Linked DNA regions of Macaca fascicularis. The protein of the gene in region 3 interacts with the protein of the main gene of each other region in a biochemical or structural test. Links are inferred from orthologs where the notes say so. Each region holds a gene or a part of one and is shown on either strand. Other genes may lie near its edges.

Region 1 (2,933 bases), on a different chromosome or scaffold from region 3:
TTCTTGGTTGCAGCATCCAGGAGCAGCTGACAAAATGAATGAGTGAAAAACAACTTTTCCCTGTGCTTAGTTTACTTAAGCTTCTTTGTTTTGTTTGATGGTCTTGATGGTATGATTTTGGATTGCTTAATATATAATAATTTGTGCTAGAAAAAACTAACATATACATGTATTGTTTTCATTAAAAAATTAATTGAAGAGAAAGAGAAAAGCAATATTTTAATGCCCCAGGAACTGAAACTAACCTTTTCTGTCTCCACTGGACCCCTACATCCCTCTTTTGATTTGCTGGTGTCATTTGCCATGTATTGGTCAATACATGTCTGCTGGGTGAGCAATAAAATTCTGGGGGCAAGCCAGTTTTGAGAAGTTTATAATCTGACTGGGGGAGACATATCTTGAAATTTTGGAAAGATACTTTACTTTTAACTATCTTAAAAGCAAACAAAAGAAACATCAATTGACCATGATTCTGCACGTTTCTCACCTCAGTATCACTACGGTAAAACAAGCTAATCATGAACACTGCCATTTCACTACAAACTTAAATGCTCTCCTTTTATTAACGTTGAGTATGAACACGAAACATGATCACCTGTTTAAAAGAAAAACACCGCTTTGTTCTTTGACAATTTCAAAATAAGGAACTTTGGCTTTTTATTCCTTTTAAGAGTTTCTGTAGTTGACTTTTTTTCTTGCTATACAATTCTCCTTGGATCTGTATTACCTCAGCTCCTCAGATCCAGCAAGGGTAGAGAGTCCTCATTTAAAAAACATTTCCTAATTGTACACATTAAAAGCTAATATTTAAGAAAAACCCTCTTAATCCTCCAACCCCTGTTCCTATTGTGAGTAATCTGGTTTAATACAAGTTAAGTCTATAAATAAATTTGTTCTTTCTCCTCAAAAAAACAGTTAAGAAACTTTACAAGAATTACAGGTTTAAAAAATTTACCGAGAGAAATGAAAGTATTGTCACTTAACCATTATTAACATACGGTGTTCAAGCCTTCCAGTATCAGCGCCTATAGCACAGCATCGCCGCTAGCTGTTTCACTAGCATGCTGACGAGGAGGCTTCTCAGTCACTCTTTTCTTCTCCTTGATAGTGTCTGTACTCTGGCTTCAGCTCCCATGTGTTTTTGTGGATCCCTTTTACATTCTGAACACCAATTTCTTTTAAGATTTCCTTCAGGTACACCTAAAACAAAAACAAAACCCCTTAACAAATGAGATTATAAAGGCAGGGAACAAAACTTAAAATAAGGTGATATGCCGAAACACATATGCAAGTCATAAAAAGTATGATCCTAAAAGCTCAGCAAGATTTCTCTATAAGGAGGTTCAATAAACTGCCTTTTGATTCTACATGTGCGATGATAACTGCACTAAACGCACTAAAAAACTGCACTAAATATACGATCATGTGCATTAAAGGGGTTGAAAGTCCTGAATGCCAACAACTTAAAAGCTAAAATAAACAACAACGACAACAAAAAACCCCACAAAAAACACAGATGAAATACACGAAAAAATTACTGGTCCTGGCCGGGCGCGGTGGCTCAAGCCTGTAATCCCAGCACTTTGGGAGGCCGAGACGGGCGGATCACAAGGTCAGGAGATCGAGACCATCCTGGCTAACATGGTGAAACCCCGTCTCTACTAAAAATACAAAAAACTAGCTGGGCGAGGTGGCGGGTGCCTGTAGTCCCAGCTACTCCGGAGGCTGAGGCAGGAGAATGGCGTGAACCCGGGAGGCGGAGCTTGCAGTGAGCTGAGACCCGGCCACTGCACTCCAGCCTGGGCGACAGAGCGAGACTCCGTCTCAAAAAAAAAAAAAAAAAAAAAATTACTGGTCCTCACTCAATGTGACACAGTACACCAAGTGTAATCTGCCCTTGAGTTCAATGGACTCAGTTTACAGACTGAAACCAGTAGTTTCAGGAGCAGTAACATATATAAAAAATGAGTAACATTTTTGAGAATATTCTATCAAGAAAGCATATGACAGGTATCCAGAATTCTCAGTTCTCAGATGAGTTCTCAAATTTGTTATTAGGCCACCCACTTATTTTTTCCTATGCAAGAAGGAGAACTGTTATTTGTATTTACTTCTATTTGTACTTTATCCAAGCTTGCCAACACAGATAAGGGAATAAGAAGTGATAATAAGGCTGGGCTTGGTGGCTCACGCCTGTAATCCCAACACTTTGGGAGGCCGAGGTGGGCGGATCACCTAAAGTCAGGAGTTCGGGACCAGCCTGGCCACCATGGTGAAATCTCGTCTCTACTAAAAATACAAAAATTAGCCAGGCATGGTGGTAGGGACCTGTAATCCCAGCTACTAGAGAGGCTGAGGCAGGAGAATCGCTTGAACCCAGAAATTGCAGTGAGCCGAGATTGTGCCATTGCACTCCAGCCTGGGCAATAAGAACGAAACTCTGTCTAAAAAAAAAAGTGATAAGACATCCCCCAAAACTATCAGGGATGCAGCTTTGTGTTTGGCTTCTCCAAAGAAAACAGTCTGTAGTATGGTGTTTTAGGTCCCTAAAAATTCAATAAACATTTACTAAGCGATTACTATGGTCATGGAAATGATGGCTATTTAAGTGTAATACGAAACTCCACCTTTGCTTGCCAATGCTGAAGGCCAAAAAGCATTCCACAATAAGCTGACCAATATAAATTACAAAATTTCCTTCTCAGAGAAGAAAGATAATAATAATAATTACTATTATTTTGAGACGGAGTTTTGCTCTTATTGCCCAGGCTGGAGTGCAGTGGCATGATCTCGGCTCAATGCAATCTTTTGCCTCCTGGGTTCAAGCGATTCTCCTGCCTCAGCCACCTGAGTAGCTGAGATTACAGGTGCACGCCACCATACCCAGCTAATTTTTTGTATTTTTAGTAGAGATGGGGTTTCACCATGTTGGC
Region 2 (3,653 bases), on a different chromosome or scaffold from region 3:
CTGCCCCGAAATAAAAATCACTGCTTCAATCAACCAAAAACCATAGGCTCTCTACTTAAGAAACTTTCAAGGTTGTTGAGACAGCTGCTGCCACCCCAACCTGGCACAGGACCTGTGTGTACACACTCTCCAGAAGTTGACATCCAGCCAGCTGGGCTTAACCCCTAGGGCCAGGAGCAGCCCGTGCCGTCCCCATGTCAGCCTGTGCAAGTGCTCAGCAGTCTAGGAGTGTCTTGCATGCCTCTCCTTCTCAGCACTGAGAAGCACTCCCTCCCCACATCTAGAGTGCTTCTTTCTCAGACTCTTCCTAAGACTAATGTACCATGCCCCTTCACCATCCATTAAAAAAATAAAAAGCTGGGCTGGGCGCAGTGGCTCACAACTGCAATCCCAGCACTTTGGGAGGCTGAGGCAGGCAGATCACAAGGTCAGGAGATCGAGACCATCCTGGCTAACACAGTGAAACCCCGTCTCTACTAAAAATACAAAAAATTAGCCGGACGTGGTAGTGGGCACCTATAGTTGTAGCTACTTGGGAGGCTGAGGCAGGAAAATAGCGTGAACCCAGGAGGCAGAGCTTGCAGTGAGCCGAGATTGCACCACTGCACTCCAGCCTGGGCAACAGAGTGAGACTCTGTCTCAAAACAAATAAGTAAAATAAAATAAAATAAAATAAAATTTAAAAAAAGCTAAGGCTGGGTGCAGGGGCTCTCATGCCTGTAATCCCAGCACTTTGGGAGGCTGAGGCAGGTGGATCACAAGGTCAGGAGATCAAGACCATCCTGTCTAACACAGTGAAACCCCATCTCTATTAAAAATACAAAAAATTAGCCGGGCATGGTGGCCGGTGCCTGTAGTCCCAGCTGCTGGGGAGGCTAAGGCAGGAGAATGGTGTGAACCCAGGAGGCAGGGCTTGCAGTGATCCAAGATCACGTCACTGCACTCCAGCCTGGGCCACAGAGCGAGACTCCACCTCAAAAAAATAAAAATAAAAATAAAATAAAATAAATAGCTAAAAACTGCTTCTTATTTCTTGAAAGATCTTTCCTATAATCTCCAAATTTCATACTATAAACAGATCCATACTACCTGTAGAACAATTCTGCTCATCAGCAAAAAGGAATGGAAAGAAGAAAGGACTAGAAAGAAATACACAGGGGGAGAGGAAAAAAACAGTGAAAGTTATGGCTGTTGAATGTTAAACTAAAATATGATTCACAGCAAATAGTTCAATACCTTGAGAAACTTGCATGCGATTCACTGGCAGGGACAGAGGTCCATCTATGGCGGCAAAACAAAAACAAAAACAAAACCACCCTAGTTATTTAATATAATCCTTGATTCAGGAATAGGAAATGTCTTATTAGGACTTCAAACTTAAAAGGGAAAACAGCCAATAGGTCCAAAGGCACGTGTGTTCCAATGCCAGCGGACCCTGTAAAGGGCCTTCCCAAGAGAGAAACTCAGTGTCCCAACACAGCCTGAGGCAGGTGGTCAGGGCCACTGCCACATCAACAGTTTCCGCAGTGCACGCATCAGAGATTCTAATTCTCTGTTCTTAGAAATACACCCCAAACACGAAGGAAAACCAAGGAAACAGGCTAAGGGATGGCAGAAGGAAATAAAATGCTTACTTGGAGGTCTCACAGGTTGTGCCTGTGGAATCACAGGGGGCTGAGTCCCCGGGGCTGGTAAGGCTGGCTGGTTCCCCAAGATGCCTTGTTTATGTAAACGCGACCTCCGTTTTTCTTCTAGTTCTTTTTGTATCTTGTAGATTTTCTCTGCTAATAAGTGATAATATTCATCCTAAAAAGCAACAATATTCAATATGAAACAGTTAAAACTGTAAAAAGCAACTGAATGATCTGTGTTGTAGGTTCCAACTAATGAACTTCTTCATTGAGTACACTGGCAAAAGTAAGTATGCAAATAAATACTTGATGCACCAGGAGCTTTATAGGACATATCAAATAATAGGTACTAAATACACGGCCCACTTCATACCAATGAACTTTTGAATATTCACTGATGCTAGCAATATTACACCCACCACCTACTGTGAAAAATATATCCCATGGACATAATGTAAATTTATATATTCCATGTACCAATGTAACTAACCAAGAGAGTTCTGCAGGAAATTTGTGTCTTATCTGGGAAGTCTCTTTGGCCAGTGGCCTCAAGGTGAGGAGTTTCTCCCAACTACACAGATTCCACAATTTCTAGATAACAAAGCAGACAAATGCAGTGCTGTCTACTACAGATGCTGTAGAGGCCAGAGCACGATAAGCAGCAACCTACCCTGCTGTTGGCAGACTCGTACATGTCCCCTTCCACTTTCTTAGCATAGGCTACCAGGTTTTCCATGCGGCGATCCTTTAGAGCTGCGGGATCAGGTGTTGGGAAGATGGCTTGGACGCTGAAAGGATAACACATCAAACTACTTTTTTTTCCTTTCTTCTTTTTTTAAAGACATGGGGTTTTGGCCAGGCACGCTGGCTCATGCTTGTAATCCCAGCCCTTTGGGAGGCTGAGGCAGGAGAATCACCTGAGGTCAGGAGTTTGAGATCAGCCTGGCTAACATGGTGAAATCTTGTCTCTACTAAAAATACAAAAATTAGCTGGGCCTCGTGGTGGGTGCCTGTAATCTCAGCTATTCGGGAGGCTGAGGCAAGAGAATTGCTTGAACCCGGGAGGCAGATGTTGCAGTGAGCTGAGTGCCATTGCACTCCAGCCTGGGCAATAGATAGAGCGAGACTCCGTCTCAAAAAAAAAAAAAAAAAAAAAGACACGGGGTCTCGCTCTGTCACCCAACCTGGAGTACAGTGGCATGATCATAGCTCACTGCAACCTTGAACTCCTGGGCTCAAGTGATCTTCCCACCTCAGCCTCTCAATTAAGGAGGGAGGTACAGGTGCACACTACCATGCCTGGTTAATTTTTAAATTTTCTGTACAGATGGAGTTTTGTTATGTTGCCCCAGCTGGCCTGAACTCCTGGGCTCAAGCAATCCTCCCGCCTCAGCCTCCCAAAGCACTGGGATTACAGGTGGGGGCTGCTGCACCTGGCCTGAAGCTACTCCCAATGCTGTCAAATGAGCACTACAAAATCAGGATCATGTATCTCTGGTGGCAATACACTGTGGAGAGAAATGCCAAGCCTCTCTTGCCCAGCATATCAATATATGAATGAAGTAACTCCCTGGAGACAATCCTGACTTACCAACTTATCTACACATCAAACACATCAATATTTTGCTATTAACAAGTATGTGCTGGGTCATTTCCAGAATAACACGATTTTTAAATCCCTGATTTTTAAACTACTTACTACTAAAAAAATTTGATCAAAATAAGGAATGGAAAAAACTCAGGGAATATAAGTCTAGTTCATTTAAAATAACTAGCTCAACAAAGTTAGGCTTCGTGTGGTGGCTCATGCCACCCAGCACTTTGGGAGGCCGAGGCAAGAGGATTACTTGAGGCCAGGAGTTTGAGACCAGCCTGGACAACATGGCAAGACTCTGTCTCTAAGAAAGAAAGAAAGAAAAAAAAAAAAAAAAAAAAAAAAGGCCGGGCGCAGTGGCTCATAATCCCAGCACTTTGGGAGGCTAAGGTGGGCAGATCACTTGAGGTCAGGAGTTTGAGCCCAGC
Region 3 (3,753 bases):
CACCAAGTAACCGATGGGAAACCTCTAGAGGGTATTCAAACCCCAGAAAATTCTGTAAAGGTAGTCTTGAGCTCCTCTGCCCTGGTCGCTGCCGCTCTGTGGCGTGTACTTTCGTTTTCAATAAATCTGCCTTTGTTGCTTCATTCGTTCCTTGCTTTGTGCGTTTTGTCCAGTTCTTTGTTCAAAACGTCAAGAACCTGAACACCCTCCACCAGTGTTATTGTTGTTAGTAGTAGTGGGATTACTATTTTGACGTTAATTTGGCTAATAAATCTAGGGATATTTTGCATTATCTAGATGTTCTGCCAAGTTTTCTATACGTAGCTATCAGCCAAATTTGCAAAGGCCATGAAAAAAAAAATGATCAGAGTATGACCCATATCGTCGTGCCTCTCATGCACACATTGGTCTCACGTAATTTTGTTTCATCTCCTGCCAATTCTAAAAGGGTATGCAAGGCAAGATACTATAACCTATATAAACCTACATACCCTGTATCAAAACGACGTGCCTAAGAAGATAACATGCTAGTTGATGACAGAGCCTGAAGAGACACCTGTTCTGGATGACCTAAGTGAATTTCTCTTTTTATTTTGAATTCCTTAGAAAGAATCACCCTTGGGGCACATAAGAACCGGCTCAAATGGGAGTGCCTGAAGCCGGGTGGGGTACTGGGGCCGGGGGGTGGCGGTGAGAAGGTGGGAGAGGAAGGGGTGGTTAGACTTTTAGGGATGCAGGCTTTGGCACCACTACGAAGCCAGGGTTTTCTTCGTGTTTTAACTCTGTCAGATTGAGAGTAGCTCTGTTGTAGCCCATTTGCAGGGTTCCCATGAGACTCTTCCTAGGCAGTTACGTTGACTCGCTTAGCAACATAGCAAATTACAGAAACGGAGTAAAAACGTAAGAAATCTCAAAGCGCGTGACGTATGGGATCTCACTGTTCTTGGCCCTTCTCCCGACCCGTAGCCCCGCTCTGTTACGACTGCGTGGGTGAGTCGTCTATAAAAACTCATCTCTGCGCGTCTCTTCGCCACACTCGTTTCCTGTTTTCGGCGGATCTGTTGTGGCTTGTTGCGGGCACCGCAGTGGCCCTGAAGATGGCGTCTACCAGCCGGTTAGTATGTCCGGCCCAGCCCGGCGAGCTGAGGGGCGGGCGCGAGCGCCGCGGGCTTTCAGGCGGCCTCCGGGCAGCCTAGTCGGACTAAGCACCGAGGGGTATGGGAGAGAAGCGGCGGGACTGGCCGACCGGCCGGGACAAAGGCACTTCCAGACGGCAGGACTGTCAGGGTGTCGGAGGGGTTACCCAGCTGTTGACGTTATTGCTTCGGAGTCTTATGTCGTCTTCTCATGTAGACATCACTCTTTGTGGGTCCTGGTGGGCTTCTGTGTCCCTAGCCCTTGTCCTCGTCTTTTCTGAATATTTCAACCTCCCTTTATTTTCTTCTCCTTCTACCTCCGCCCCTCCCCCAGCTTGTTGTTTTCGTCTACGGCCCAAACAACCCGAGGTCCGTAATTTCTCCTTTTCAAAGGAACGGGAAATAGTTGGTTCCGGGTCCCTATCGATCTGACAGCTAGGAAGTTGGGAACGTCAGCATTGGTAAGCCAGATGGAACCAGGTTACCATCACAGCGGGCCTCGAAAGTGGAAGTTAGAGCCATCGGAAGAGTTGATTAGTTCCATGCTAAAGGATTTGTTTACAAATATTGTTGCCTGTGTCCTTCTGAAGAAAATCTTGCATAAGAAATTTAGTTATGTGTGCTGGGAGGTTGCTCTTCAGTATATATTTAAAAATGCAATGTACTCATATCTACAGGAAATGCATGCAGTACCCTCAGAGACAGCCTTTAATCTTGTGACCTGAAAAATGCTTGCAGACCCTAATTATATCTCTCATTACCACTATGAGGTAGATATTAGTATTTTTGCGTAAGTGTAAACTGAGTCATGCCAATGTTGACTTTTCCAAGGATAGTGTTAGAGTGTAGAGTCTAAGATAACCTGTTTCTTGTTATCCACACCTGGCCTTTGGTTAACTAATGCTGTGTTAAAAGTATCAAATTAATTCTACAGGTTCTGGAACTCTGGCACCATTTTTCTGACCCTATCAGCTGTGAAATTGGTTAATTTCACAGTGAAAGCCATTTTTACAAAATAGCCTTTTCTGGTAACTGCCAAGACTTACATTTTATGGTTAGAAGAAAAGAATTTGGGGTGGGATGCGCTTTAGCTAATGTACTGTTTGAACAGAACTCATAAAGCCAGTGACACTCTTGTTTACTGATTCTGATTCTTGGATTGGATGCTCAGTCATTCTGTCTGGGTGGTGGTCTGTCAGGTGAGGCCTCCTTGTAGGTAAATGGAAAACTTTGGCTCCCCAAATCACTCAAATATGACTTAAATTCTGTCATGGCTTTTTAAGTCTGAATTTTTTTCTAGATATGTGCAATTTATGTATCATGGCAGTTATTGCTCAAGTTTTTCTATCAGTGACAAAGTTAAATGTAGAATTTTTATTTTTTTGGAACAGGCCTGGGCTGAAGTGCAAGTGGCACAATCATGGCTCACTGCAGCCATGACCTCCCCAGTTCAGGTGATCCTCCCACCTCAGCCTCCTGAGTAGCTGGGACCATAGGTGCACACTAATTTTTTTAGTGTGCCTGGCTAATTTTTTTATTTTTTAATTTTATTACTTTTTATTTTTGTAGAGACAAGGCCTAGTTACATTGCCCAGGCTGGGCCCGAACTCCTGGGCCCAAACAGTCCTCCGACTTTGGCCTGCCAAAGTGCTGTGGTAACAGGTATGAGCCACTATGCCCAGCCTAAATATATTATTTCTATCTTTTGCATGTTTTTCCCTCAGGAAGATGTATTGTTGCTAGGCCGTGAAACTGGCTGGTGACCTCACAGAAGAATACACATATTTTGAGTTCAAATGTAAGCTTCGCCACTTACTAGTTCCATGACTTCAGGCAAATCATTCTGTGAGCATAATCTTTTAAAATGGGAAATAGGCCTTTCTTGCAGGATTGCTGTGGAGATTGACAATAATAAATGTGTAACACCAGCAATACAGTGCATACCCAATAAATGATAGCTCTAAAATGGGGTTTGGGATTATCTGGTACTTTAGATGTTTTAATGTCAGTGGTGGTGGTTTCCCTATTCCTCCCCATTGTTTCTCTCTGTTACCACCTGCGCCACCCCATTTGTATGGTTCCTCTTTTGTATTGTGGGTAATTTGGTTAAAAGTTTACCAATTTAGCATACTTTTATTTTGATAGGTAACACATACAAATGGTCCAAAAGCAAAATTACAATAGACTAAAACCATGAAAAGTAGTCTCTCAAGTCTCCCCAGATCAGCCATAGTTACTAGTCTTTTGGTGTTTTCCTCGTGCTTATGATTTAACAAGTGTATACAAATAGTTCTAACCTCTCTTCTCCCCAAAAGTGACCTGATTTAAACTCCATTCACTACCTTGCTTTTACCTTTTTTTAATGACATTAGCACGCAGATTTTAAAAGTGGGCAGCTCAGTCACAAAGTGAGCACATACATAGCTACTACCCAGGTAAGGAAATCAGATACCACTAGCACTAGCTAAGACACTAGCAAAGTCTCTGTCCTCAGTCATTCCCCCTCCCTTGAGAAAACCGCATCCTGATTTCTAACACCATCAATTTGTTTTGCCTGCTTTGAAGTTGGCATAAATGGCATATGTATTCTGCTGTCTAGCTTCTGTCAGTATTTTGA

The links.
Region 1: the proteins of GTF2B (region 3) and GTF2F2 form a complex in vitro, tested with the Homo sapiens proteins (2 studies listed by BioGRID and IntAct). The link is inferred for Macaca fascicularis from reciprocal best matches to the Homo sapiens genes GTF2B and GTF2F2.
Region 2: the proteins of GTF2B (region 3) and CREBBP form a complex in vitro, tested with the Homo sapiens proteins (2 studies listed by BioGRID). The link is inferred for Macaca fascicularis from reciprocal best matches to the Homo sapiens genes GTF2B and CREBBP.

Annotation. Positions count from the first base shown.
Region 1 is NC_088391.1:24,532,773-24,535,705, reverse strand, and holds the end of GTF2F2 (general transcription factor IIF subunit 2), read right to left. Parts: intron 1,201-2,933; coding exon 1,081-1,200; 3' UTR 532-1,080; downstream 1-531. UniProt on the Homo sapiens protein: TFIIF is a general transcription initiation factor that binds to RNA polymerase II and helps to recruit it to the initiation complex in collaboration with TFIIB.
Region 2 is NC_088394.1:4,558,440-4,562,092, forward strand, and holds part of CREBBP (CREB-binding protein), read right to left. Parts: intron 2,420-3,653; coding exon 2,302-2,419; intron 1,807-2,301; coding exon 1,635-1,806; intron 1,282-1,634; coding exon 1,237-1,281; intron 1-1,236. UniProt on the Homo sapiens protein: Acetylates histones, giving a specific tag for transcriptional activation. Mediates acetylation of histone H3 at 'Lys-18' and 'Lys-27' (H3K18ac and H3K27ac, respectively).
Region 3 is NC_088375.1:145,803,511-145,807,263, forward strand, and holds the start of GTF2B (transcription initiation factor IIB), read left to right. Parts: upstream 1-1,029; 5' UTR 1,030-1,097; coding exon of another isoform or gene 1,098-1,114; 5' UTR 1,115-1,217; coding exon 1,218-1,375; intron 1,376-1,379; exon of another isoform or gene 1,380-1,597; intron 1,598-3,753. UniProt on the Homo sapiens protein: General transcription factor that plays a role in transcription initiation by RNA polymerase II (Pol II). Involved in the pre-initiation complex (PIC) formation and Pol II recruitment at promoter DNA.